Schizosaccharomyces pombe: one gene and its partner. The gene in region 1 interacts genetically with each later gene. Each region holds a gene or a part of one and is shown in the gene's direction. Other genes may lie near its edges. The genes, in order: gyp1 and ubc15.

Evidence for each region.
Region 2: of gyp1 (region 1) and ubc15, changing one suppresses a phenotype caused by changing the other (phenotypic suppression), as found in Schizosaccharomyces pombe (2 studies listed by BioGRID, with this or other methods).

The regions. Positions count from the first base shown.
Region 1 is NC_003423.3:777,254-790,367, forward strand, and holds gyp1 (GTPase-activating protein Gyp1), read left to right. Parts: upstream 1-7,312; 5' UTR 7,313-7,859; coding exon 7,860-9,404; 3' UTR 9,405-9,892; downstream 9,893-13,114. Other genes in the region: syj2 (inositol-1,4,5-trisphosphate 5-phosphatase 2), read left to right, coding at 1-753, 799-1,017, 1,063-1,114, 1,165-1,329; CENP-A chaperone, NASP family, Sim3, read right to left, coding at 3,819-5,009; SPOM_SPBC530.02 (transporter), read left to right, coding at 10,425-12,050; protein ksh1, read right to left, coding at 12,587-12,643, 12,713-12,764, 12,837-12,946, 12,985-12,987. UniProt on the Schizosaccharomyces pombe protein: Stimulates specifically the GTPase activity of ypt1. Functions on the Golgi as a negative regulator of ypt1.
Region 2 is NC_003423.3:3,516,152-3,528,048, forward strand, and holds ubc15 (ubiquitin-conjugating enzyme Ubc15), read left to right. Parts: upstream 1-6,618; 5' UTR 6,619-6,723; coding exon 6,724-6,768; exon of another isoform or gene 6,769-6,850; coding exon 6,851-6,994; exon of another isoform or gene 6,995-6,997; intron 6,998-7,072; coding exon 7,073-7,102; intron 7,103-7,119; exon of another isoform or gene 7,120-7,178; coding exon 7,179-7,404; exon of another isoform or gene 7,405-7,474; coding exon 7,475-7,533; 3' UTR 7,534-7,994; downstream 7,995-11,897. Other genes in the region: cell wall glucan 1,6-beta-glucosidase Exg1, read left to right, coding at 1-210; pmc4 (mediator complex subunit Med4), read left to right, coding at 1,338-2,057; TREX/TREX2 complex subunit Pci2, read right to left, coding at 2,315-2,603, 2,646-2,897, 2,953-3,450, 3,498-3,655, 3,722-3,853; EMP70 family endosomal transport protein Emp70, read left to right, coding at 4,210-4,408, 4,557-6,247; RAVE complex subunit Rav1, read left to right, coding at 8,522-8,608, 8,724-11,897. UniProt on the Schizosaccharomyces pombe protein: Catalyzes the covalent attachment of ubiquitin to other proteins. Has a role in the formation of chromatin structures that influence the localization of transcriptional silencing factors.

The DNA.
Region 1 (13,114 bases):
TAGAGGTCGTAAATCTATTGCGGGATCTTTAAGTGATATATCCAAATCTTTTGGCCGCATGTATGTTGGAAGATATCCAGACGTAGAATCTCAAAATGCCATTTTATTGCTGTTGGGATGTTTTCCGAATCAAAGTCCCGTACTCATATCTGAATCCGTGTCTTCTTACATCCAAGGTGTGCTAAGACAACGTCGTTCTGAATATAGAGTCGAAAGGGATTTTAGCATATTTTCGTCGACATTTAATGCAAATGGTAAAGTACCCAGCACTGATGAATTTAAAAGGCTGTTACTTCCATTTGGCGAAAGAACTTCCGCTTATGATCTTTACGTTGTAGCGGTTCAAGAGATAATTACCTTGAACATGAGTCATCTTGTTAGTTCAAGCAATCAGAAACTTAGGATTTGGGAAGAGAAAATACTTATGATTCTCAATTCTCGAGATTCTAATAATAAGTATATGTTAATTAGCTCTATTCAAATGGCAGGTGTTTTCCTTGGTGTATTTATACGGAAGGATGATCATCTTGTTGTTTCAAAAGTTACCAAAACAACTCGAAAGACAGGCTTTGGCGGGTTTTCTGCCAATAAGGGTGCCGTTGCAATTGAAATGAATGTTTGCGACTCGGATTTTTGTTTTGTTTCTTCACATTTCGCTCCTAAGGTTAATAATATTTCGGAGCGCAACATGGAGTATACAAGTATATCTGATAACCTTGTTTTTCCATCTGGAATGAAAATTTATGATCATACGTATGTGACGATAAGTATTTAAAAAATCATTACTGACAAACATAGGAACATTTTATGGATGGGTGATTTTAATTATCGTATAGATTCTGATAACGAAGAAGTTCGAAAACTTGTTGAACTGGACGACTTAGACAAGTTGGCTTCATATGATCAGTTATGCACAGAAATGAAGAAAGGCACCGTGTTTCATGGTTTAGTTGAACCACAGTTAACATTTCTTCCTACTTACAAATTTGATAATGGAACCAATGATTATGACACTTCGTACGTTTACCATAAACCAAATCCACACTGTTAACATGGCTATAGAGATAAACAGAGAGTGCCTTCATGGACAGATCGAATCTTGGCCACAAAAAGTGTAAGTTGTAGATATATTTCAATGTAGTGTACCTCTAACCGAAACTTTAGTTTACTAGGAATTGCTATAAATCTTGTGACATTAGATGTTCCGATCATCGTCCTGTATTCGCTACTTTCAGCCTTAAAATATTCAGTACTTGTATGGACAAGAAAGCCGGAATCATAAGAGACGCAAGGATTGCTTATATTAAAAGCAAAAATAGTAATAAATAGTCGTTAACGATTATTTATGATCTACGCCTCCCTTTGCTGAAATTTCGTATTTCCAACTATTTAAAGTGCACATTTAATCTATCTATTTATTTTTAATTTTTGTTTTAAAATAATATATTTTTTTGATGTTTCCTTCGTATTATTAACATATTAAAGAGAGAAAAGCATTCAAACTATATAACCAAAAAACAGGCATAACTTAAAAAAAGGGGTAATAAAAGCAAAAATATGATCGTAAACCCAATCTAAATAAAATCTACAACTAAATCATGAAAAGCCTCGTGAATTGAATAAATTTGGTATTCACAAGGAAGTAATAAATGAACCTGGATTGAATAAATTCTCGCTGACTCTTTCCAAGCACACCTAAGACAAAGTGTAACCGAAGAAAATATTTAATGAAGTTCCATGAAAAATAATAATGGGGGAGGAAGAAATAATATGTTCACAGTTTAACCATGACATGTGATGAGGGGCATATATTTTTATCAATTCAGCTCAATAACAAATTTATCAAAACAACCGAGAAAATTTGCCAGTGTTCTTACTTTGAGATGCAAATAAAGGATGAATCAAAGCTTAAGGATAAACAGATATAGTCTCGTTCACAGCTCCATGCCGAAAAGAGCATGATCGCTACAATTGAGATGTGGGAGAGGCTCAAAACCCACCCAATGTAAGCTTTTTACTAAATAAGGGAGAGAACTGTTATTTTTATCAACGAATAATACCAGCTTCGAGCAGTGAAGCCGATCCACGGCTAAGTCTATGATGGCAACTAATCCTTCTTTCAAATGAACGTCTTCCCAACTTTCAGGTATTAAAAATAGAGTCTTCGATCCATCCTCTTCAGTCCGAACTATCCCATGCCAATAGTTCATGGATTCTGCAACACCGATCCTTTCATCACAATCATATTTTCCTCTATGTCTTGAATTGCCTTCCTCTTCATTTACCGTCTGTTCCTTCAGTATGCCGGAGGGCTTAGGCAAACACGTTCGAAAACTGTCACTAATCCAACGTGGAACATGGCGACGCCTCTGCTGCTTAAAGGCAGCACGAGGTCTTGAGCGCTCAAGCGCCTCAGGAGCACCATTCCGCGCCCCCTGCCGGCGTAGAGCCATAAACAAACATTTGATCCTTCGTGGTACATAAAGCTAACGTGTTGCGTCGGCGTCCATGTGTATGATTTTGCCCTCGTGGGTTTGGTGCAAAGTGAGAATTTAAAATATCGGCGTCAGCATCATCCACATTTGACAATTGGTACATTCGATTCCTAAACGCCATATTCTAAGATATTTCTTACTTAAACTTTGGCGTATGATGCTTGGATTTGGGGATTGATTTAAAAAAAACCAATAATGAAAACTTGTTTTGTTGTATGTTCTTGCAGACTCCGTAAGTAGGTATGTGAATAAATTGCTTAGATAGTAGAACAAGTTAGAGTGCACAAAATATATATACGGTAAATGTGATTACAATTCCTATAGGTGAACAGCGCTACAATACGTTATAAATCACTATTTGGATTCTTTATCTAGAGCCGTTTCTACGGATATAGATAAATAGTTATCTAAGAAAGGTCGTTTTTCCAATCTGAATCCTTAAAAATTAAATTTTAAAGGAATTTACGCCCCTTAAGCTGATTGTGAGATGCCCAAACACTGGCATGATTAAACCATTAAAAAAAATACTACACATTGTTTATTATTATATTCCTGTCTATATCAATATTGTACTTCACAATTAAATTGCCCGTTTAAAGTATCCTTAAGACATTTACAGAGTATGTACCTTGTATGGTATAGTGTTTAGCAGACGGCTTAGATAGCGCTATTTGATATCCATCTTTTATCAAATAGAACAAAAATAATTTTTTTTAGGAGTAAAGGAGTTGGCATTTTAAATTTATGTTTTTTTACTTAAGTTTCCATATTAAATACGTTGAAGACTATAACTACAAGCAATCAAAGTAGCTGTTTAAACATGCTCTTTAAGAACTTTATATAATTATAACGCCATTTTAATTTAGTACTATCAACTGCTTTGATTATCTTATTTTTCAACCTATATAGAAACGTTGCCTTATAAATACCTGCTTAATGCAATATTTCGATTTTACGTGTTTGACACGTACATGAGTAAAAACATATATTTCTTTTCCTTAATTTTTTAAACTGTAGGATCGTAAATTGCAATATCATGTCTCGAACCCGTATGCTTAATGAAAAAGATGCGGAATGGATCTTTCATATATATTTTAGGAAATGACCCTTCATAAGATTCAAATTTGCAAGATAGAAAGAATAGCACATATACATATTTCATTGCGATTATACTAAACAATTCCTTTGTAATAAAGCAATTAAATTTTAGCAATTAAAAAGCTCTTTTGACATATACTCCTAGGAAGCCATTGTGTATGTAAATGAAGAACAGAAATGCTAAACGATTGAGAGCTCTTGCTAACTTCAACTAATTGTGATCAATTAATCCTTCTTTTTCTTATCTTTAGGACCTTCTTTTTGAGAGGAGCTAGTAACTTCTTGCTTCGTACGTTTCCGTTTTACTAATCCACCTAAATCATTGGCATTTTTCACAGCTTCAGCAACAGCTTGAGCGAGACTGCTGCTATCCTTAGATAATAAGGATGACTCATGCATCTTTGACATAACAGCTTCTTCCAAACTTGGCGCGCCATGCTTTAAATCAAGCGTCTTTTGTTCAAGTTCCGATAGCATTTCGCGCAAATTCTCAAGATCGCTAGTTAACGTGCTTTCCTCAGCCTTTTGCTTTCCTTTCCCTTTCTTATCCGTAACTTCATTTTCCCGCTCATTTAAGACATTTTTTAAGATTTCTGCAGCCTTTTCCACATGTTCACAAGCGCGGGACTTGTTAGAGGGATCTTCTGGATTGGTAAACTCAAGTGCTAGTGCAAGCTTATAGTGGGCTTCACTTAAAAGTGTATTATTTGAAACGTTGTAAACCTTTTCTTTCCACTCAAGGGCCGTTTTTAAATCCTGAGAAGCCTGAGAAAAGTTTTCAATTTCGAGAGAAAGTTCTCCCAATAAATCGTAAATATCCGCCAGTCTTATCTTTTCATCCTTACTGTCAGGATAAGCATCTACTGCTTTTGACTGCATGACTCTTGTTAGATCTAGCACCTCCCAAGCAACGTTAAAATCGTCTTCATCTTCTTCAGAAGCTGGAGATGCTTCGTTTGTTTCTTTTTCTTCACTTTCCTTCTCTGGATGTGCTATTGATGAATTTTCTTCATTGACGGTATATTTATTTTCAATTTTTTGACCAGAAAATGTGAACGAGCCAATAGCTTCTGGTTCTTCAAAACTTTCGGTTGCTTGAGACACAGACTCCTTGGCACCCAACGCATTTCCCAGGACTTGACTATTTTCAATAGCTATTTGAAACAGAGATTTTCCATACAGCCAAAGAACATTTCTATTCTCCAAACTTTCAGAACCATGAATGGACTCTGACTGCATGAGCGCTTGACCATACTTATCAACGGCTTCCTCATAATTTTTTTGAGCATAAGCCATATTACCTTGAGTGACTAGTTGCTCAATTGCTCGCGAATCCGAAGAAGAAGGGTTTTTGGTATCAGCATCTGTAGCACTATTGCCTTTGCTATTTTCCAGTGTTTTCGTATCAGAAGACATTTTTCGCGTAACTTTTAAAAATTATGAAGTTCAAGACTTCAAGTAATAGGTACGACAATTAGATATTACGCTAGGTCTACCAAAGTGACCCAACAGACTGAATAGTGAAAAAGAAAAAACGACTCGATAATTCACTTTTTTAGATTAGAAATATTAATAAAAATATATTCTGGCTTTTTCTCCTAATAGATAATGAGTTAAAACCACTCTGTTTTGTTCTTAATAAGTAGAGGTGAGCCTTTGCAGATGTATGAATCTATTAGCATTGGCAAGTAATGGGAGTAAGATGAAGCGTATATAGGCGAGCGTTTGATGGCATAACAAGAGCAACAAATTGAACTTATTTGTTTTCCTTTGTTAATAACTCTATTTTAACGATGTATAGGATTCGTTCTGACAGCTTCATTTTTATTCCAGCAAAGCGAAGCAAAACGGATCATTCGCTTCGTGCCAAAACAATGTTGTTTTATGGATTAAAAGATGATCTTCTTAAAGCAGCCATGGCTAAGCATTCATAATACGTGATAGATCATGTTATAGACTTCATCTTTGTAGATCATATAAATGCTTAAGTGTTGAGTCAATGACACATAGACTGTACTTGTCTATTTAATTTGTCTAACGTATTACATTCATAAAAAGCGCGTAAACGTGTTGAGTCTTATAGAAGTTGTTATGACTAGCAATTCAAGAACAAGTCTGATTCATAACATTATTTAACATTTCTTTATTCCATTTCATTTTATTCTTTCTCTATGTTAAAATTCTTGACTTTGCAATATAAACAGACAAATATGCACCAAGTAGCTTGTACAAATAGCTCCTAAACGATCTTTGAATGCATGAAGATAATATTCTATATACCAAGGATTTGAATACTTCACGATCTTACTGTATGAATATATAAACAATAAATAGAAAATTTCTAGTGAATCGACAGTACTCTGACTGATTATTAATTTTTTCTTTAAAATGTTTAAATATTCTACTTTAAACGTCTACGGCCATACCTAGGCGAAAACACCAGTTCCCGTCCGATCACTGCAGTTAAGCGTCTGAGGGCCTCGTTAGTACTATGGTTGGAGACAACATGGGAATCCGGGGTGCTGTAGGCTTCCTTTTATTCTTTTTGCTTTTTGTTTGAGCTCATTTGGGAATAATAATCATTTACCTTGATTCGTACTTATTCATTTCAATACCTTTGCACATAATATTATTGTGTACTATGAATGATATTTTGGCAACCAGGAAATCTTCTTACAAGTCGTAATACGACTTAAAGGGAAGATGTATGGTTTATTTTATTGTCATACAGTAACCTTTATTATTGGATTGGAGTTGTAGTTTCGATTTCATCACAATGAATAACGATACTCTAGAGTGTTTTCCAAGATGTAAACGAGAGAAGGAAAGTGTTTTTTGGATGATTATTAAACTTACTATAATTTTTGATTGTTCTCAATATAAAATTTATCTTAGTACATATTTATTTTGTTCTCATGTCAGTTTTGGAGAACATACATTACAATTTCTTGACAAGACAACATTTGGAAAATTGCTCTGTTCATTAAAACATTGAAAACCGTATATGTTTTTTAAATCATTCCTCTTCAATGCATTTGTTGAAGTAATTTTACTGAATCAAAGATATAAATACATGTTTGAAAACAAATACCCGAAACTGCTAAAAAAAAGACTGGGATTGAAAGTTAGACTAGATTCGTTGATCATCTACTTGAAAAATGTGTTTTGTTAGAAATATATAGGAACAGGAAAATCTTAGACTGTATTTCAGGAAAATTTAAACTTAGTAGGTATTAAAATGCTTATAATTCATCGTATTATATTAGGTAACTAGGATGTCAATACGAAAAATAACAATAAAATCAGAGATTCATTATTGACAGGAAATACTTTTTTACGTTTCTTAATCAACGTTTATACTTTTCTCTTTTTTGTTTTGAAAAGCGACTAGTCACAATTGTCAAAATTACATTGTTCACTTTTACTGGCAGCAACTTAAGTAAAGAAGAGATAGAACTCATAGATATAAACATTGTTAAATGAGACCTAGCTGTGTATCTTTTACTACTCTGCGCATATAAACCCAACATTCCCAAGCAATAAGACCATGCACGGCCAAAATCCTTCTATCAACTGTTCATGGCTTAAAACGAATTTCCTTTAACTAAAAAGTGAGATAAATAATTAAAGTATTAAACCTTGCTCCTTTTATTAAAAAAACCTCATATATAAGAAACTCCATACACCTACTGTTTTCCTCCCTATTGTTTTGTTCTTCCACCAAATAAGGGCAACTGCCTTGGCAACTGCACAGACCGAGTAAATCTTCACAATTTCGTTGATATTCGGTTAAAATTTGTAAATATACTAGTGTATTGGATTGTATCTAAGGTTTTCTCGAAACATTTGTTCGTGTTCAAATTCCGCGCTGTTCTAATAGATCACAAGATCTCGAGCTGGTGCGTTTTCGTTTGGATGGAACCCACAGACACGGCTTTGCTTCTAATAGCTTAAGTTTTTTTTTTTTGAAAATAGTTTTCATTTGATAAGAAAAGAATAAGACTTCAAGTCCGGTAAGTCTATGAGTGGTGCCTAAGATCCTTCGTCGTTAAACATTTGAAGTTATTGCCTTCTAAAACGTTTCATCTACTTTTTACAGCAAATTTTGAAACTGTTTTTTGCATCTTAACCAAAAGTATTTTATTTTGGCGATAAATTCAAAGAGTATCTGTTATTTGCTAAATTTGTTGTGTCCATCAAGGCTATCAAATTACTGCTTCATTTTGTAAAAACAATTTTTCTTCTCGTATTTTAAGATTTTCCACTATGGAATCTCAGTCAAAAAAGTCGTCCGCCTTAAAAACTCTCTCCAGCTTATGGAATGGATCCTCTAGCGCCACTTCGGATCCAGTTACTGTTTTGGATCGAAGCCGGACCCATCACCATCGTGGTCGAAGCACTTCTTCCAAAGCTCAACCGTTCAGATTGGACGACTCTGTTTACTCAGATCAACCCCCAAAAGATCATATCTCTTTGGCCCGGTCCATAACTAGACCCGAATCTGCTAGTGAGTCTAAAATCTATGCACCTTCTGCGAGATCTTCTCTTTCCTTGGAAGCTGTTGTAGGCAAAAAAGTGTCTGCAAAGTTTGCCAAATATTTGTCACAGACAGATGACGATTGGGGAGTTTCGAATATTAAAGCCTCAAAATCTCTTCCTCGTATGGCTCGAAGTACTACTCCAAATTCTTCAAGCCGCTCCTTATTTCCTCAAAATGGCGTGGATACTACCACTTCTAGACAAAAGCTTCATTCGTCTGGTCGTTTTCCTTTACCCGCTAAACTAGCCCATCGTTCTGTAGAAGTTGAGGTTGCTGAAAGCAATGCGCTTGTCTCTCGGATCAAGAAGTTTTCGCGAATTCTTGATGCTCCAATTGTGGATTTAAATGCGCTTCGTACATTGGCTTGGAATGGAATTCCCTCCGAACATAGACCTATTGTCTGGAAATACTTGTTAGGATATTTACCTTGTAATGCTTCTCGTCGTGAAGTCACTTTAAAGCGAAAGAGAGACGAATATAACGCAGCAAAAGATTCCTGCTTTAATACAAATACAGAGCCACCACCTTTGGATCAAACTATTTGGCGACAAATTGTCCTTGACGTTCCGAGGACGAACCCCTCTATTCTTCTTTACCAAAACCCATTGACGCAGCGTATGCTTGAGCGTATTTTATATGTTTGGGCCTCACGGCACCCAGCCAGCGGATATGTACAAGGCATCAGCGATTTAGTTACTCCTTTTATTCAGGTGTTTTTGTCCGAATATATCGGCGATAAGGACCCAATGACATATGACATTGCTCTTCTTGATGAAACTAATCGTAATGATATTGAGGCTGATGCTTACTGGTGTCTTTCTAAATTGTTAGATGGTATCCAAGATAACTATATACATGCACAGCCTGGAATCCGTCGACAGGTGAATAATCTGCGAGAGCTTACTTTACGTATAGATGAGCCATTAGTAAAACATCTTCAAATGGAGGGTGTTGATTTCCTTCAGTTTAGTTTTCGCTGGATGAACTGTCTTTTAATGCGCGAGCTTAGTATTTCGAATATCATTCGGATGTGGGATACATACATGGCGGAAGGTGTCCAAGGATTTTCTGAGTTTCACCTCTACGTATGTGCTGCATTTTTAGTGAAATGGTCGAGTGAATTACAAAAGATGGAATTTCAGGATATATTAATTTTTCTGCAGTCTATTCCGACAAAAGATTGGAGCACAAAGGATATCGAAATTTTACTATCTGAAGCTTTCCTATGGAAATCATTGTACAGTGGAGCTGGTGCACATTTGAAAAGGTAAGGCATAGTAGCCATTTCGTTTTCCCTTTTCAGAGCATTCGTCTTCTTCCTTAATCCCTTGCTTATTTTGGCATAGCAGCCTTTTTCAAATGCCATCCTTCCTATGCATTTTTATAATTAGGTTGACAAATCTCCTTCGTTAATTCATTGTGTTGCTTTTCTATGTTTATGAGCTTATGAGTCTAAGTCTTACTTCTTCTAATAAATTTTCCTTTCATTCACCTAAATAACTTTTCAAGTTTGCTCCTTAACTCAGCTGGATTGAGTTTGCGACTTTTAGAATTTATCATGCAGGATAAAGTATTTCTCTTGAAGAAAGTCTGAACTACCTTAATCATTTTTGGGAAGTTATTAACCCTTGAATTAAATTGTATATTCACTATTACTTATATGTAATTTGTCTTTACTCTTACGTTCGACCGTTCTCTAACCCTTTTCCAGTTTGACTTACGTTACTACTTTACTATTCAACGATTGTTTAGTCCATGGCGTGATACTTTACATGAATCGTTATTAATATCATTTTTTTTTCTCTTCTATGCTAGTCATGTTTTCTTTGGTTTTATCCAAGATTGTACATTACGATTTCAAAGTACGACTTTTGTATTGGTAAGAGATGATGAAAATCGACAAGACTGTACTACATGGTCTGTGTCTTCTTCCTTGATTCGACCAAAATGTATGGATGAATTAGAGTAGATAATGAAAACGCTGTGACAATTTTTGAATATTTATACAACTTAATACAGTTTTTGAACTGAAATAAAGAAGCACGTTCCATTGCGTTATAGAATCATTGTATTACTTTTCATGAAGAAGAAATCATTTATTTATAACTATAGGATCAATTTCTTATCTTTTAAATTTCAATACTCATAGCTTTTTCATGCTGATTTTGCAACTGCTTACCACAACAGCATTTGCAGTGACTGTTTTTCAAACTATATTTACTATATAAGGGAGACTTTGCCTATTACCTCTACGTCTGGCTTAGGAGCGCAAATTAAGCGATAAGAAAGAAATGGATCTGTATCTTTTAGCAAGCGGCAGAAAGTTTGGGGTTGTAAAGTCTGACTGTATATCCAATAACGGAGTAAATGTGAAGGATGTTGGAAATGCATTGAATGAAGGTGTTGTTGGTGCTATTGACGCTACCCGTAAAATGGTGGTTTCATTAGGAACAGTAATGCCTGAAATTCAAAAATGCGGTGTTACTTTTGAAGAGAGCTCCGAGGATGTAAGTGATTTTTATTTAGTAAGATGGGATAGCATTGATGATCCCTTAAATCCCAAAAATTGGCCAATGTGGAAGAAATGGATTGTTGTAGTTCAAATATCCTTAATAGCATTTGTGGTAACTTTTGGATCGAGCGTATACTCTTCAGGTATCGGTAATGTTTCAATGGACTTTGGGGTATCGATTTCTGTTTCTTCTTTAGGCTCTTGTGTCTTCTTGGTTGGCTTCGGGTTTGGATCGTTACCATTTGCTCCTCTCAGTGGTATCTATGGAAGATTTGTTGTTTATTTTTGTACGTTGTTGATGTTTACCCTATTTCAAATTGGTGGAGGTTGCGCACAAAATATATGGACATTGGTTATTTTACGTTTTTTTCAAGGATTTTTCGGTAGTACGCCTTTATCAAATTGCGGTGGTACTCTAAGTGATTTATTTACTCCCATACAAAGAACGTATGTACTTCCTGGCTTTTGCACCTTCCCTTTTCTTGGCCCCATTTTTGGACCCATCATTGGTGATTTTATTTGTCAGAGCTACTTGGGTTGGTGTTGGGTGTTTTGGATAAATATGATCATGGGAGCCGTGGTAATTGTCATTATTTTTTTCTTCATGCCGGAAACTCATGGGGATACCATTTTAGACTATAAAGCTCGGTATCTGCGTAATAAGACCAGAAATATGAAATGGCATACCATTCACGAAAGACAGCGGAATCCAAGGAGTGCAATATATCAAGCTTGTACTGATTCTGTCTCTTTATTGATTACCGAACCTATTGTAGTCTGCTTTACACTTTATCTGACTGTCGTGTACATCATTGGTTATATTGACTTTGAAGGCTACCCTATAGTATTTGCCAAGTACTCTTTCGATCAGGGAGAAATTGGTTTATCGTTTATTGGAATTGGAATAGGTATTGTTTTAGCAGGTGCCTGCACGCCCATCATCTACGTACACTACAATCGAGTTTATACAAGAAGGAATGGGGTTATGTCTCCAGAAGACCGTCTATACCCTCTTTTCTTTGGATCCATAATGCTACCGATTTCCATGTTTTGGTTTGCATGGACCTGTTACCCATACCATCCTTACGTGCATTGGATAGTTCCATTGATATCAAGTATCTTCTTTGGCTGGTCGCTTTTGTTTGTATTTTTTGTTTCCTATAATTACATAATTGATTCCTATCAAAAACTGGCTGCAAGTGCTTTAGCTGCTGCTACGCTTGTCCGTTATGCAGCTAGTGGAGGAATGAGTCTAGTAGGCAGGCCCATGTATGTGAATTTAGGAGACCATTGGGCAACTAGTTTACTTGGTTTTATTTCAGTAGGAATGATTCCTATACCGTTTTTATTTTTTATATATGGAAAAAAAATTCGTGGTTTGAGTAAACACGCATACAAGTTGTGAGTACTACTATTCACAACCATTAGTACAATAGATTTCGCAGCTTTAGGATAATTGTGCCTTGGTTTGCTTGATACATTTTAAGCAATTGAATTAAGTAATTAAATAAACGATACCCAAATCGGTCAGAAGTCAATATGAACAAGCCATAACAGGGTGTTATTCTAGTTTTTATAGTAAATGAGAGTTATACTGATAGATAGATCGAAATCAAAAATCAACCAATCCATCTTGTTTATATGTTATTCTTTACAGTTAACATCTTTTATTAACACAATAGACACAGGCGTATAAAGATATGAAAATGGATGTGAGTAAAAAGGTAATATAAGGATGAAAGAATGAAATGGGCGTAGAATTGATATAATAATTTTCGTGCGGGATGGATTTGTGCAACATAAACGACAAAAAGGTCGAATTATTCTTGATTACCAGCTATTTAGAAATGAAAAGTGTAAGCAAAAGAAATAAAACTGTTTGTAAAGTATTTTCTTCTCTTCACTGTCATAAGCTAGCCAGAAAGCTAAAATTTTAATAACTTATGAGGAACCGAAAATAAATCGTAAAGCCATAAAAACACAAAATAGTGATATATACTAAAGATAGATGTTAGATCTAGCCTTTTTTAAAAAGGATAATTAGCTAGTGAAATAGCTAAAACTCACCGGACTAGCTCGCTCACCAATTCGAGCGCATTTCCAGAATACCATTGTCACGCTGTCAACTTATTAGCAATTCCATATCCCTCAAAACTAAAATATTATATATCTAATAATCATTTAGGCTTACCCTTCTTTTCTTTTTTCTAATAAAGCAGGGAATTGACGGTGTAAATAAGTACATGTGCAGATCGTTAATAGTATAACGAAAAGCAAACTTTCAAAGTTAAAAATGGCAGTCTAACGGTTAATGTTTGTCTTAAAACAAAAATAGTTACCATTTTATTATACTCTGATTAAAATTTTCAGCTTTTAAAAAGCATGTAATTTCTGTGTTCATATATGAAACATACAATGAACTTGAAGTATGCTCACTTGTTCACATTACGACACACAAGACGTTGTAAA
Region 2 (11,897 bases), 2.7 Mb from region 1:
GATATTTCCACTTGGACGGATGAATATAAGGGAGCTGTTCGTCTGTTTATCGAAACTCAGTTAGATCAATTTGAACGCGGTGCTGGTTGGATTTACTGGACTGCTAAAACTGGTGGACCAAGTCCTACTTGGGATATGGGATTACTTATTGAATACGGCGTATTCCCTCAACCTTTCACTGATAGACAATATAGCTCTTACTGCGGTTAAGCAAAGCCATATCAAAGTTAAAAAAAAATTTTATCTATTCTAGCTGTATAACACTAATTTATATCTCACACATCGTTGTCATGTCCTGTCCTTGCATTTATCATCTACTATCATTTAACGTGCTGCTATCTACTATCCATTCAGTCTTTGTTTGTTTGGCATTATCTTTAGACATTAGTTTTTAATATATATTGTTGTTTTCGAAATCTTTTAGTTATGTGATATTAATATTTTGGTAGCAAGTTCCTACTAAATTAATATTTAGCTTAATAGTTTACGTTCAATATTGCATATTTTTTCGAACTCTATATTAACAGTAGCTGTACTTTGGAGAAAGTTGACCGAGAAATCTTTTTAAAGTTGTCCAATTGAATTTTCAATTATCAAGTATCTTCAGTTTACTTATATGAAATGTATTTTCTGCTCTACTCTTATAAGTCAGTATTGAGCCACATAGACGGACCACTTTGAGTTAGTCTCGGAAAAGCAAATCGACAGAATAGGTTTTCACTCAGCCACAGGTGACATATGTTTAAAATACTTTTATAAAAATTACATTTAAATTGAGCGATTTCTTGGTAAAGTAATATTACACATTTTCTGATCTGATATAGGCTTTATACGCATTAAACGAAATAAGCTCATTAAGCATTCTTTAACGAACTCGCTTTTTTAATTTAATGAGATATCTAATTCACTAGTATGTATTCATTATGTTGTCCCTAACAAGATCAAAATTGTTACACTGTAAATGTAACGTAGTTTGTCGACTAATTTATACGAATAATAGCTTTCTTCTTGCCCAAATTAGTGAAATTTGTTAGACAATTTAAACAATTAAAATCATATACAGAATTAAATTGACTAATTCTATTTAATCGAGAGTAACTTAAGTATTGTTCGTCGAGCGTATATACCAGCTGCTACTTATTGCCCTTGTGGAGGAGGACATTACTGTAATTTACCGTGTTTTAGCACATTAAACCTTTTAAGGATGTCTGTTTAACTAACGGTTACGGATGTTTAAGGAGTAAAAAGTCGAGTCTGCAAAATAACTGTAACCTGACCTACTAGATGATCGAGCAATTGTTGAGTAGTTAGTATATAGTAATCACATATGCTCCCCAATGGAATATCAAAGAGCCATTGATTCTATTGAAGAATGTCTCAATAAACAGTTAAGACTGTCATCCGAAAAGGTTGACCAATATGTACTAATAGAAAACTGGACCTCATTAGTAGGCCACTTGAAAACCTTACACTCTTTAATATCAAATTACACAAATGGTAGAGAATTACAAAATGAAATTAGTTCTTTGCTGAAGCAGGATAAGGAACTGGATTTACAAATTCAAGACTGCATGAGAGAAATGACCTCAATTTATGATACCCATCTTCCAAAAACAGTGTCGGGGAGAAAACGACAAAAAGTTAATGCTGAAACACTCCTTGATTATGGTAGAAAACTTTCCAAGTTTTCCTCTGCACCTCCTGGGTACAATCCCGAGACGGGTCAAGATGCAAAAGCTCCTGTGCATTATCCTTGGCCATCGGAGGACCAGATGCGAAAAACTCTGTTGTTTCAGTTTTCAACTAGCATGGTTCCAAATTTATCGGCTACAGCGTCCCAATTATTTTCTGAACAGCCTCCAAAGACGAACGAGCCAACGGAAACAGAAACAGAAATTGATGCGAACAAAGCCGTTGAAGAAAAAACTAAAATGAATTATCCTGCCTCTCCAACATTCACTACGCAAGAGGAAAATAAAGAAGTAGAATCGCCAGCTAATAAGGATGTCTTTGCAGGATTTGATCTTTTTGATCCAGAAATGGAAGAAGATTTTTGATTCTAAATTGTGTTATTTGTCAAGTGATATCTGGTATTTTACTTTTCTAATTATAGAGTTTTTTGCTTTGACCAAATACCCTTTTGTTTTAAAAATGAATAAAATTACGCTTTGCCGTTTAGACTGTATTTATTTAGCTTTCAGACTTCGCAAAGCAAGATGATTGAACACTGTTCCTTGCTTAACATTTGTCAATTCAAATTTAATTAATTTTAAGTATAATTTTCGAACAATCTACGTTTTCTGAGTTCATTTAATTATGCGTTAGCATGAAAAAATTCCTTTTCTGCGTGATCATTCCTTGCTATGGGCATAAGGCTCTCTATTACAGAAAAACCGAACGATGGGTCTTTTTTAAGGACTAAAGTTGATGATGCATGAATGATATAACCTTTAATATATCCTTGGTCAATTAGAGAAACACAGATACATTCGACATCGTCCATGTCATATGAGTTATCATTTGTACTTAAACGGGCCGCGGTTAACAAGTAAGAACCAGATACGTGCGGGGTTTTTTGGCTTTGCTCAAAAGTAAAAAGAAACCTTTTTAAATTAGTCGAATATTTTAAAAAATCTCAAACGTACACCTTTCTAAATAAATTCCTCCACAGGATGATTTCACATCTATCCAATAAAGTTAGATATATTCCTCGTTTGATAAACCATTTCCTCCTGGAATTGTCCTCCAAAGATAATCTGAACGACTTGATATCACCACTTTTCAAAGCTTTTATTAAAGGTTCGAATGCTGCAGTCAATTTGTATTTTTCTAATAGCCCTTTTGTTGGCGATTTTCCTAATATAAGTAAACACGTTGTAAGATAGATTAGAGAAAGCCTTTTTTGATTAGTAAATATAAACGAATCCTATTTTTGAGTAAAATAAAACATACCTTTTTTGATGATAACACTCATCAGGGCACTGAAGAAACGAAAAAAGTAGATGGTCCTTTGCCTGATGAATTTTGCGTTGATAAAGATGACACCTTCCTAAATAATAACGAAACGTTACTAATTCCGCCATTGTAGCGCGAGAAATATCGGCACCCGAAGAGATGACATTAGCTTGAATAGTTTGGCAAAGACGAATTTGCTTTAAGCGAAAATATAGTAAACAAAGTAAATTGGCAATACAGAATATCGCATCCTTCTTCGAAGGGTTAATGTTTTGTTGACGATCACTCAGTATACTATTGAACGTTCGTAAGACGTTCCTAGATGCATCGCTCACGTATTTCCTCTGTATGAACCCATTACCATCAAAAGAATCTTCTAAAGTAGGTGTAGATGTATCTAGCTGAAGGGAGAGCTTTACATAAAGCTTTGAAACGCGTTTTACAATTGTACACAACCATGCTCCATCGATATGGGAGAAGCAAGTTGTCAAGTTACTAGAAAAACAAAAGTGAGAAATAATAAACAAAAAGTTTTTAATTACCTATACAAGTTTTGTAACAATTCCCATTTTCGTTGATCAGGAGAAGATGCAGCATTTTCAACGTACTCAAAATAGGTAGTTACCAATTCCTTCCAACCTCTTATTCTTCCAAATTCTTTTTGAATGGTTCCGTTTAACTTATTTTTCCCCTTTCTATCCTTTATCACGGTTAGTTAATGTTATAACCTGAAGACAATTACTTGTAGTGCAAGCCTGCGACATACCAAAAAAAGAGTTTTACTGAGCTGTTGAAACGAGGGCTCTGATGGATCTAAAATAATACATTTCTCCAACGTATTGGAGTTTTTCTCTCCAACAGCGTTACTCAAAGTTTGCAGAAAGTCATTTAAGGACATTCCAACCTGTTCCTTCGCAACTTTTAGTACTAAACTTTCAATTATTATGTAACGATAAATAAGTTATAACAAGAAAACTCAACAGATATGTTTTCGCTTACATCGATGTTCTCCAACTCTCACGTTCTGAACCTCATATACGAATAACGAAAGTTAGCAGGTCGTAAACCGGTATACGAGGATTGTTAATAGCACAATAAAGAGACATACTAAGAGTACAGCAGCATTCCTCAAATTAAATGCTACCAGCATCAATCCCCAAAACCGTAGCACTTTATATTGATTTAGTCTTAATCATCTCGGTTTGAAAAGATTCTGTTTCGAGTCTTTGCCAAGAATTAGGGAAATAGTAAAATATGCTTTTACCTAGTATTCCCTCGTGTTCATTTAGCTTTGTTGTTTTCGTTTCCGTTCTTCTCCAAACCTGTTTTAGTTTTCAATTAACTCCCTTAAGTCCGAAAAACTATCCTCCCGGTGCTTCAATTGATACAACTGTCAATACCATTTCACCATTTATTGGAGATGGACGGGGTTCTGACATCTTTAATTATGAATGTACGTGGTTGATAGCTCACATGAAGGTTCATGTGTTTTTTTAAAAACTTTACAATTTTAAATTAGGAAAACACTATAGAAATATGATTTAATGAAGGATATAACATTTTCTCTCGAACTTTTTTGCTTGTTACTAACTTCACTTTAGACTACGATGAGCGTTTCCACTTCTGTCGACCAGAGAATATCGCAAAACAATCTGAGTCACTTGGAAGTGTGCTTTTTGGCGACCGTCTCTACAACTCTCCCATTGAAATAAAAATGCTTGAAAACCAGGATTGTGTTCCCTTGTGTGCCTCGATAATTCCCAGTTCAGATGTCAGTTTTATTAGAGATTTAATCTCCAAAAACTACGTTGTTAACTGGAACATAGATAATCTGCCCGTAGCAACATATTTAGAAGGGACTAACTCAAAGAACTACTCATTATCGCCAGGCTTTCCATTAGGCAAGAATACGGAGAAGGGAGTAATTCTATTCAATCATTATGATATAGTTATAGAATATCATACGACATCTAGTGACCAACACCGTGTTGTGGGTGCTTATGTAAAACCTGTCTCAAAGGAGTCTACTTTAGTTGATGGAAACCCAGTTTGTTCTTCGTCTTCAAATCCACAGTATTTACCGGAAGGAGCTGATCTTACTCTCGTGACCTCTTACTCAGTCTCTTGGAAATATTCCGATACTCCATGGGCTACCCGATGGGACAAATATATGCACATTGAATCTAGGCAAATTCGATGGATCTTTATTATCCATTCCGCAATTATTGACACATTTCTAATTTTTGTGGTTTCTATTATTTTGTACAGAACGCTAAATCGTGACATTAATAAATATAATAGCGCCTTTGTCGATCAAGAAGATGTTCAAGAAGATTTTGGTTGGAAGCTAGTTCATGGTGATGTATTTCGTCCACCTCGTAGACCCATGCTATTTTCTATCCTTTTAGGGACTGGTGCACAACTTCTTTTTATGAGCTCTGGTATCGTTTTATTTGCAATTTTTGGCATTGTTGCACCCTCTCGTCGTGGAAGTTTAGCTACAGCAACGGTGGCCTTATTCATTATATCAGGTTTCGTTTCTGGTTATGTATCTGCATTATCCTACAAACTGATGCAAGGTATGCTTAGAAAGCGAAATCTTCTGTTAACTCCTTTTGTCGTACCTGGTTTTATGCTTGCGGCAGCTCTTTTCTTTAACATGGTATTTTGGAGTAAAAGTTCATCATCAACTGTACCCTTTTCAAGCTGGCTTCTACTCATTTTCCTGTATCTATTGTTTACTGTACCATTAAGCTTTGTCGGTTCTTTAATCGGCTTTCGTTCTCGAGAGTTCGTCCCACCTGTTAGGACAAACCAAATCCCTCGTCAAATTCCATCTCATAGTATTTGGCTTTCGAGTTTTCCTAGTGCGATTATCGGTGGATCTATACCATTCCTCGTAATCCTTATTGAATTGTTTTCTATCCTTGACAGTTTATGGTTTCACCCATTGTATTTCATGTTCGGTTTCTCGTTCTTTTGCTTCGGTATTTTAGTAACCACTTGTATCATGGTTTCCATTATCACTGTTTATTTCCAATTGTGTTCCGAAAACTACAACTGGTGGTGGCGCTCTTTCATAACACCTGGATTTTGTGGAATCTATGTATTTATATTTTCAGTATTTTACTGGTTTTTTAAAATCTCATCATCTTCCCTTGCTACTGCCGTTCTTTATTTCGGCTATAGTTTACTGATTTCTGTTTTGGTATTTTTCTTATGTGGATCGGTTGGTTTCTTTGGCGCCTTTCTCTTTGTTAACAAAATTTATGCGTCCATTAAAATTGATTGATTATTCGAGGCATTTGTACATACCTCTTTATTTATTGTTCAATTTGAGCTTTCTCCGTTACAAACCTTATTAATCAACAAAATGACTTGGAGAACACTCTCTTTTATATTCAAATAATTTCATAGGAATATGCCGTTTTTTTTCGGTCATCCAATATATAACTACAGTTTGTTTTACTTTGTGTAATAAAACCTTAGGTACTATATCATAGAAGAAATTTGAAAATTGTAATCTTAACCAAAATGTTTACTTAGAGTAAATTAAATTTATGTTTTCTACGTTAAAAGCTTTATTATATGTTACATAAATAATACAAAAAAGGAATATTACTCTAACTATATTTACGAAGCTCGCCCAAACCTTTTTCAACTACCAGTATTTCGCCTTCAGCTCAACCCTACTTTAAAAATTGTCTTTATATTACTTTTTCTCAGTTTACCAAATATTTAGAACGTAATTATTAAAATATCGGAAGTATGCCTTCTTCTGCTAGTGAACAACTTCTTCGAAAACAACTAAAGGTAAGCGCACGAAATCTTCATATCCAAATATTCATGATTGTACATAGTATCTTAATTCTTGAACACATACTGATAGATATAGGAAATTCAAAAAAATCCTCCACAGGGTTTTAGCGTTGGTTTAGTCGATGATAAATCCATTTTTGAATGGGAAGTTATGATCATTGGACCAGAAGATACATTATATGAAGGTGGTTTTTTCCATGCAACATTATCGTTTCCTCAAGTATGTATTTATGTTTCACAGAAAAATAATATTTGTTGTATAAGGTAAACAAGCTGGTCACTAACCTCGAAAAATTAGGATTATCCTCTGATGCCTCCAAAGATGAAGGTATAGTAAATACATTGATTTTTTAATTGATAGAAACTACATAGTCTATGCCTAAAAACGATTCTAACGGTAACAGTTCACAACGGAAATTTGGCACCCTAATGTTCATCCGAATGGCGAAGTTTGCATATCGATTCTTCACCCACCAGGAGATGACAAGTATGGATACGAGGATGCTGGAGAACGTTGGCTTCCGGTACACTCTCCGGAAACCATATTGATTAGTGTAATTTCCATGCTTTCTTCCCCTAATGATGAGTCCCCTGCCAATATAGATGCTGCCAAGGAATTTCGAGAAAATCGTGAGTATATACTAACCTACAAACAAAAAAATTTACTCTTTAATAATCAAATCGTACTAACTTTTTCCAGCACAAGAATTTAAGAAAAGAGTTCGTCGACTTGTTCGCAGGTCAATTGAAATGATTTGAAGATAATGTTCAACCTAGGTCCCTAATTTCCTATATTTAGAAAAAAGGCTATGAAGGAAATTCAAGTCGCTGCATAGAAAACCTCCTAAGTCAACTAGCAGTAAAGCTTACTCAAAAAGTCTGTAGCTTTACAAGTTGAATTGCATATTTTATGCCATCTTTGAAGTATTGCCGTTGCCCATTTTTTGAATAAGTTTAGCAAACTGTTCATTTATTATCACATATAATGAAATATTGGCAGAACGGTTGACATTTTAAAACTAACAGCTTTTGATTCTTTTCTGTTTTTATTATAAAGCTTTCAAGTTTTTCAAGTGTTACAACCGCAAGTGATTTATCCTACTTCTTTACCAATTACAGCCATAATTTAGATAAACAACAAATAAAAATCTACATTTCACGATTGAATTTTTTTCTTTGAACAAACGTCAGCTAATACTTCGTGAATTGATAGTTTTCCATTGAAAATTTTCTATTCAAGTAATTATTTTCGCTTATACGCTCATACTTTATCAGCGACGGTTTCAATTCCGCGTTTTGCACAACATACATTGAATGCAGCGATAAATCTCAGTCTATTATATTTTACACTAACTAGCTCAATGTCTCCTACGTATCCGAATGACTGATTCAATGATTAATCAAACCAATTAAAGAATCTAGCGAAACTTCGTTGAGTTTGAAAATTAAATACTCAGAGTAACCATTTAAGATGAATATTAAAATTGCATTAAGAACCGTGAAAGCATTGCCTTTTCATTTAGCGTTTTTTTATTGCATTATGCTTAAACTTTTCAGAATGACAATTAATATTACGCTATTCCGCAGTATGGTGGTGTTCACACTGGTTCAAATGCGTATATGGAACGTAGACAGCTATTAGGTCAAATCAGATATTAATAGCTTTTATCATTGTCATTTCTCCCTTAACTATTTGCAAGTCGAAAAAAATCCAATTTTAGCTCATGCACAGCGTTCTGCAGTAAACATGCCTCTGGCATTCACAAATCCCGGTACACCTCTAAAACGTACAGCTGCCTACGACAATGTACAATGGAACCAAAATCGAATATTAGTAAGTGAATGGACGCAAACGATATGCGTTTGTCTGCTAGTGGTTAAACTGCAGAACGAAAGCAGCATGTCAAAGTATTGTTTCCAATTGAAGTAATTGTTTAACTAAATGGTAGACATTTGGAACTCGCTATACCGTATTAATTATTGTAAATAACTACGAATCTTATCAAAATATACAATTTGGAGAGTCTATTGGTGCAGTGGCTTTGGACCAACGTACGGGGTTTCTAGCAATAGCACATGGACAAGTTTTGGATATTTATAAGCCCGCCGATTCTTTGAAATGGACTCATCATTACAATTATATAACTCAGCTTTCTGAAGATATTACTCAACTATCTTGGGGATACAATTTTGATCTGTTGCTTTGTGCTTCGTCATACACTAAACTTATAAATTTCTCTGAAGACAAACCCAGGTTGGTTTGGTCGCAGAACAGAATCTCGGATTCATTCCTTAGTAGCACTATTTCTTCCGATGCTTGTTTTATAGCTTCTATCGAAACAAAAAATCCACTTGCTAAAGTTTGGCAGCGAACATCTCCTCAAGGTACAGTTAGCTCATGTGATGATTTCAGCTATCTTGTTCATCCTTGTCGCGTAAGGTTTTCCCAATGGTCTAAACACCTTCATCCGGACGCCAGTGGATCGACTCCCTTCCTGAGTACGGTAGGCTATGATAACGTTCTAAGAATTTGGCAAGTTGGTAGCCGATTTGGTTCTCAATTAATGCATCTTTCTTGTTTTCTTAACTTGAGAAAATACTACAAATCTGATCAACCACCATACTGCTGTTTTATTGATAAGGACGATTTTACTATAGCATTAGCACATGCTATAAGTCGCCATTCTGGTCAAGTGCATAAGGATCGCATTTTAAATAGGCTTCTGGCTTTGGCCAGTGGACAACCACATATATTTTTGCTATTTACTTTTGAATGTTTGTACATATTTTCTCTAGTAATTGACCAGGAAACTTTGTCATCTTTTGAGCTTATTAATCAAGTTCCAACGAACTTTCCCAAAGGCGCTCTTCAACCTGACGGATTTATACCTATTTACAGGACCTCAAAACACGAATTTTACGATTATAACATCATTTTATTTTTTCAAAATTCCGCCCGTGAATACATGTTTAGTCTTACCGATTTCTTTTATAGTGACTTTGAGTTAAGAGTTAGTTACGATTTTTATGGACATGATTATCCCATAAAAAGCTTAACAAGAACCTCTAATGGTCATGGAATTGTATCCCGAGATGTTAATCGTATCTGTATGTTTCAATCATACATATCGCAAGACGGGAAAAATCAGTTAATTTGCAGGTTCAGATTATTACTTGGAGAATCTGACTTTATATTACCTCTTTATGCTGGTGAATATGCAGCAGTACTCAACTTAAATTCTTTAAAATTATGGCATTGCAATGAAGCAATTCCTCCAACCCTTCTCTGTACATGTCGTCAAGTCCCTACTAGTCCGATAATAACCTTCTTTATTCTTCCTGTTCAAAACAACGATAATTCCGCCCTATGTGCTTTGACGGAAGGAGGCCATGCCTGGTTTTGGAGTGTCTCTAACGAAGCTCATGATGGTTCTGCTGTACTTCGGTTTATAGATCGGGTAAATTTTACAAAGAATTTAAATATCGCATCGGCTGTAGATGTCATGGGTTGGTCTTCTACTTTAAATTTGAGCAGTTTATCTTCATTTGATCAAGAGGTATTTCAATCAATATCAAAAGACGGTTTATTACAGACTTGGATGGCAAGAGTATTGGGAGACGATAAAGCGGAAATATCGGAAATTTCCAAAGTGCAAACTAGCATCAAATCTGCAACTATGATCAAAGGCTCAACATCCAAGAAAGTTGCTGTTGTATCTGAGAACAATCGTCGACTTTCAATTTTCGACACGCGTAGTTCAGAATTCTCTGAAAAGGAAGAATTTTCCTCTGTTTTTGATGATTATGGACCAATAAATGACTTGGATTGGACTTCTACTCCCAATTCCCATTCTATCTTGGCTGTTGGCTTTCTACATGATGTTATTCTTTTGTGCCAAAATCGCCGATCTTATATGAACGATATTCCATGTTGGTCTCGTATTCGTAGATACAATCTTTTAGAATATACAAATTCATTAATATCTGACTCTTCTTGGTTGGATAATGGGACTTTAGTTACTGCCATTGGTAACGGACTTTTTTATTTTGATAATTCACTTCCCGAAGATCAGTCTTTACTGTTCCCTGCATCATTGAAACGTTCCGCAAAAAATATTTTTGATCTTGCATACCAGCTTAATGGAATTTTACCAGTTTTTCATCCTCAATTGTTGCAGCAGCTTTTACTTAGAAACCAACCCTTTCTATTTACTAATATTTTGCTAAGGTTTTACTTGTGTTTGAAAGATGATGTAGATATGCATTTTCTCTTAAATATGGACTGCAGTGAGTTTTACTGCTGTGACGAAGAAATTTCTAAAGACCTTTTAATAAAAAGTCTCAGCCAAAATTCTGCGGAAATTCTAAATCCTGCGGAATTGGATTTTGAAGAGACCAGTGTCTCAAAGCATTTAGGATTATACATTGATGAAATGATAAAGAAGTTGACTGCATTATTAAAAGTAAAGAAAGTCAAAACCCTCACTCGATCATCTCAGTTTTTACTTCTTAATTTAATCGAGGCATTCAATAAGGCAAGAGCATTGCGAGATTCATTGGACCTCAACGGAAAAAGATATTGCATTATGCTAAACCAGTACGTTTTATCAAAACATCAACGTCAATTAACAAGCTTGCCCACCCGAGAGATGGCGTGGGCTTTTCATAGCTCTAACAAAGCTGTTCTGTTGGACCACACTAAAAAGCTTCATGGAAAACCATTGTTATGGAATGCTGTTGAAGAATATGCGATACCGTTTTGGCTAAATGAGCAGCTACTGAAAGATGTATTTTTAGAGCTGTCTCGCAATCATTACGCTGAGATTGACGATAGGAACCCAGAGAATGTTAGTTTATATCACATTGCTCTACACAAAATAAATGTATTTCGTGATCTTTGGCGTCTTGCTAGTTGGCATAAGGAATCAGCTCGAACGGTTAAGTTGCTTTCGAATGACTTTTCAAAAAAGAAGTGGAAAGTGGTTGCATCCAAGAATGCTTTTGCACTTTTAAGCAAGCACAGATATTTTTATGCTTCTGCATTTTTTCTTTTGGCAGATAGTTGCTATGATGCCGCAAAAGTATGTATCCGTAATTTAAAAAGCATTTCATTAGCCATCGCA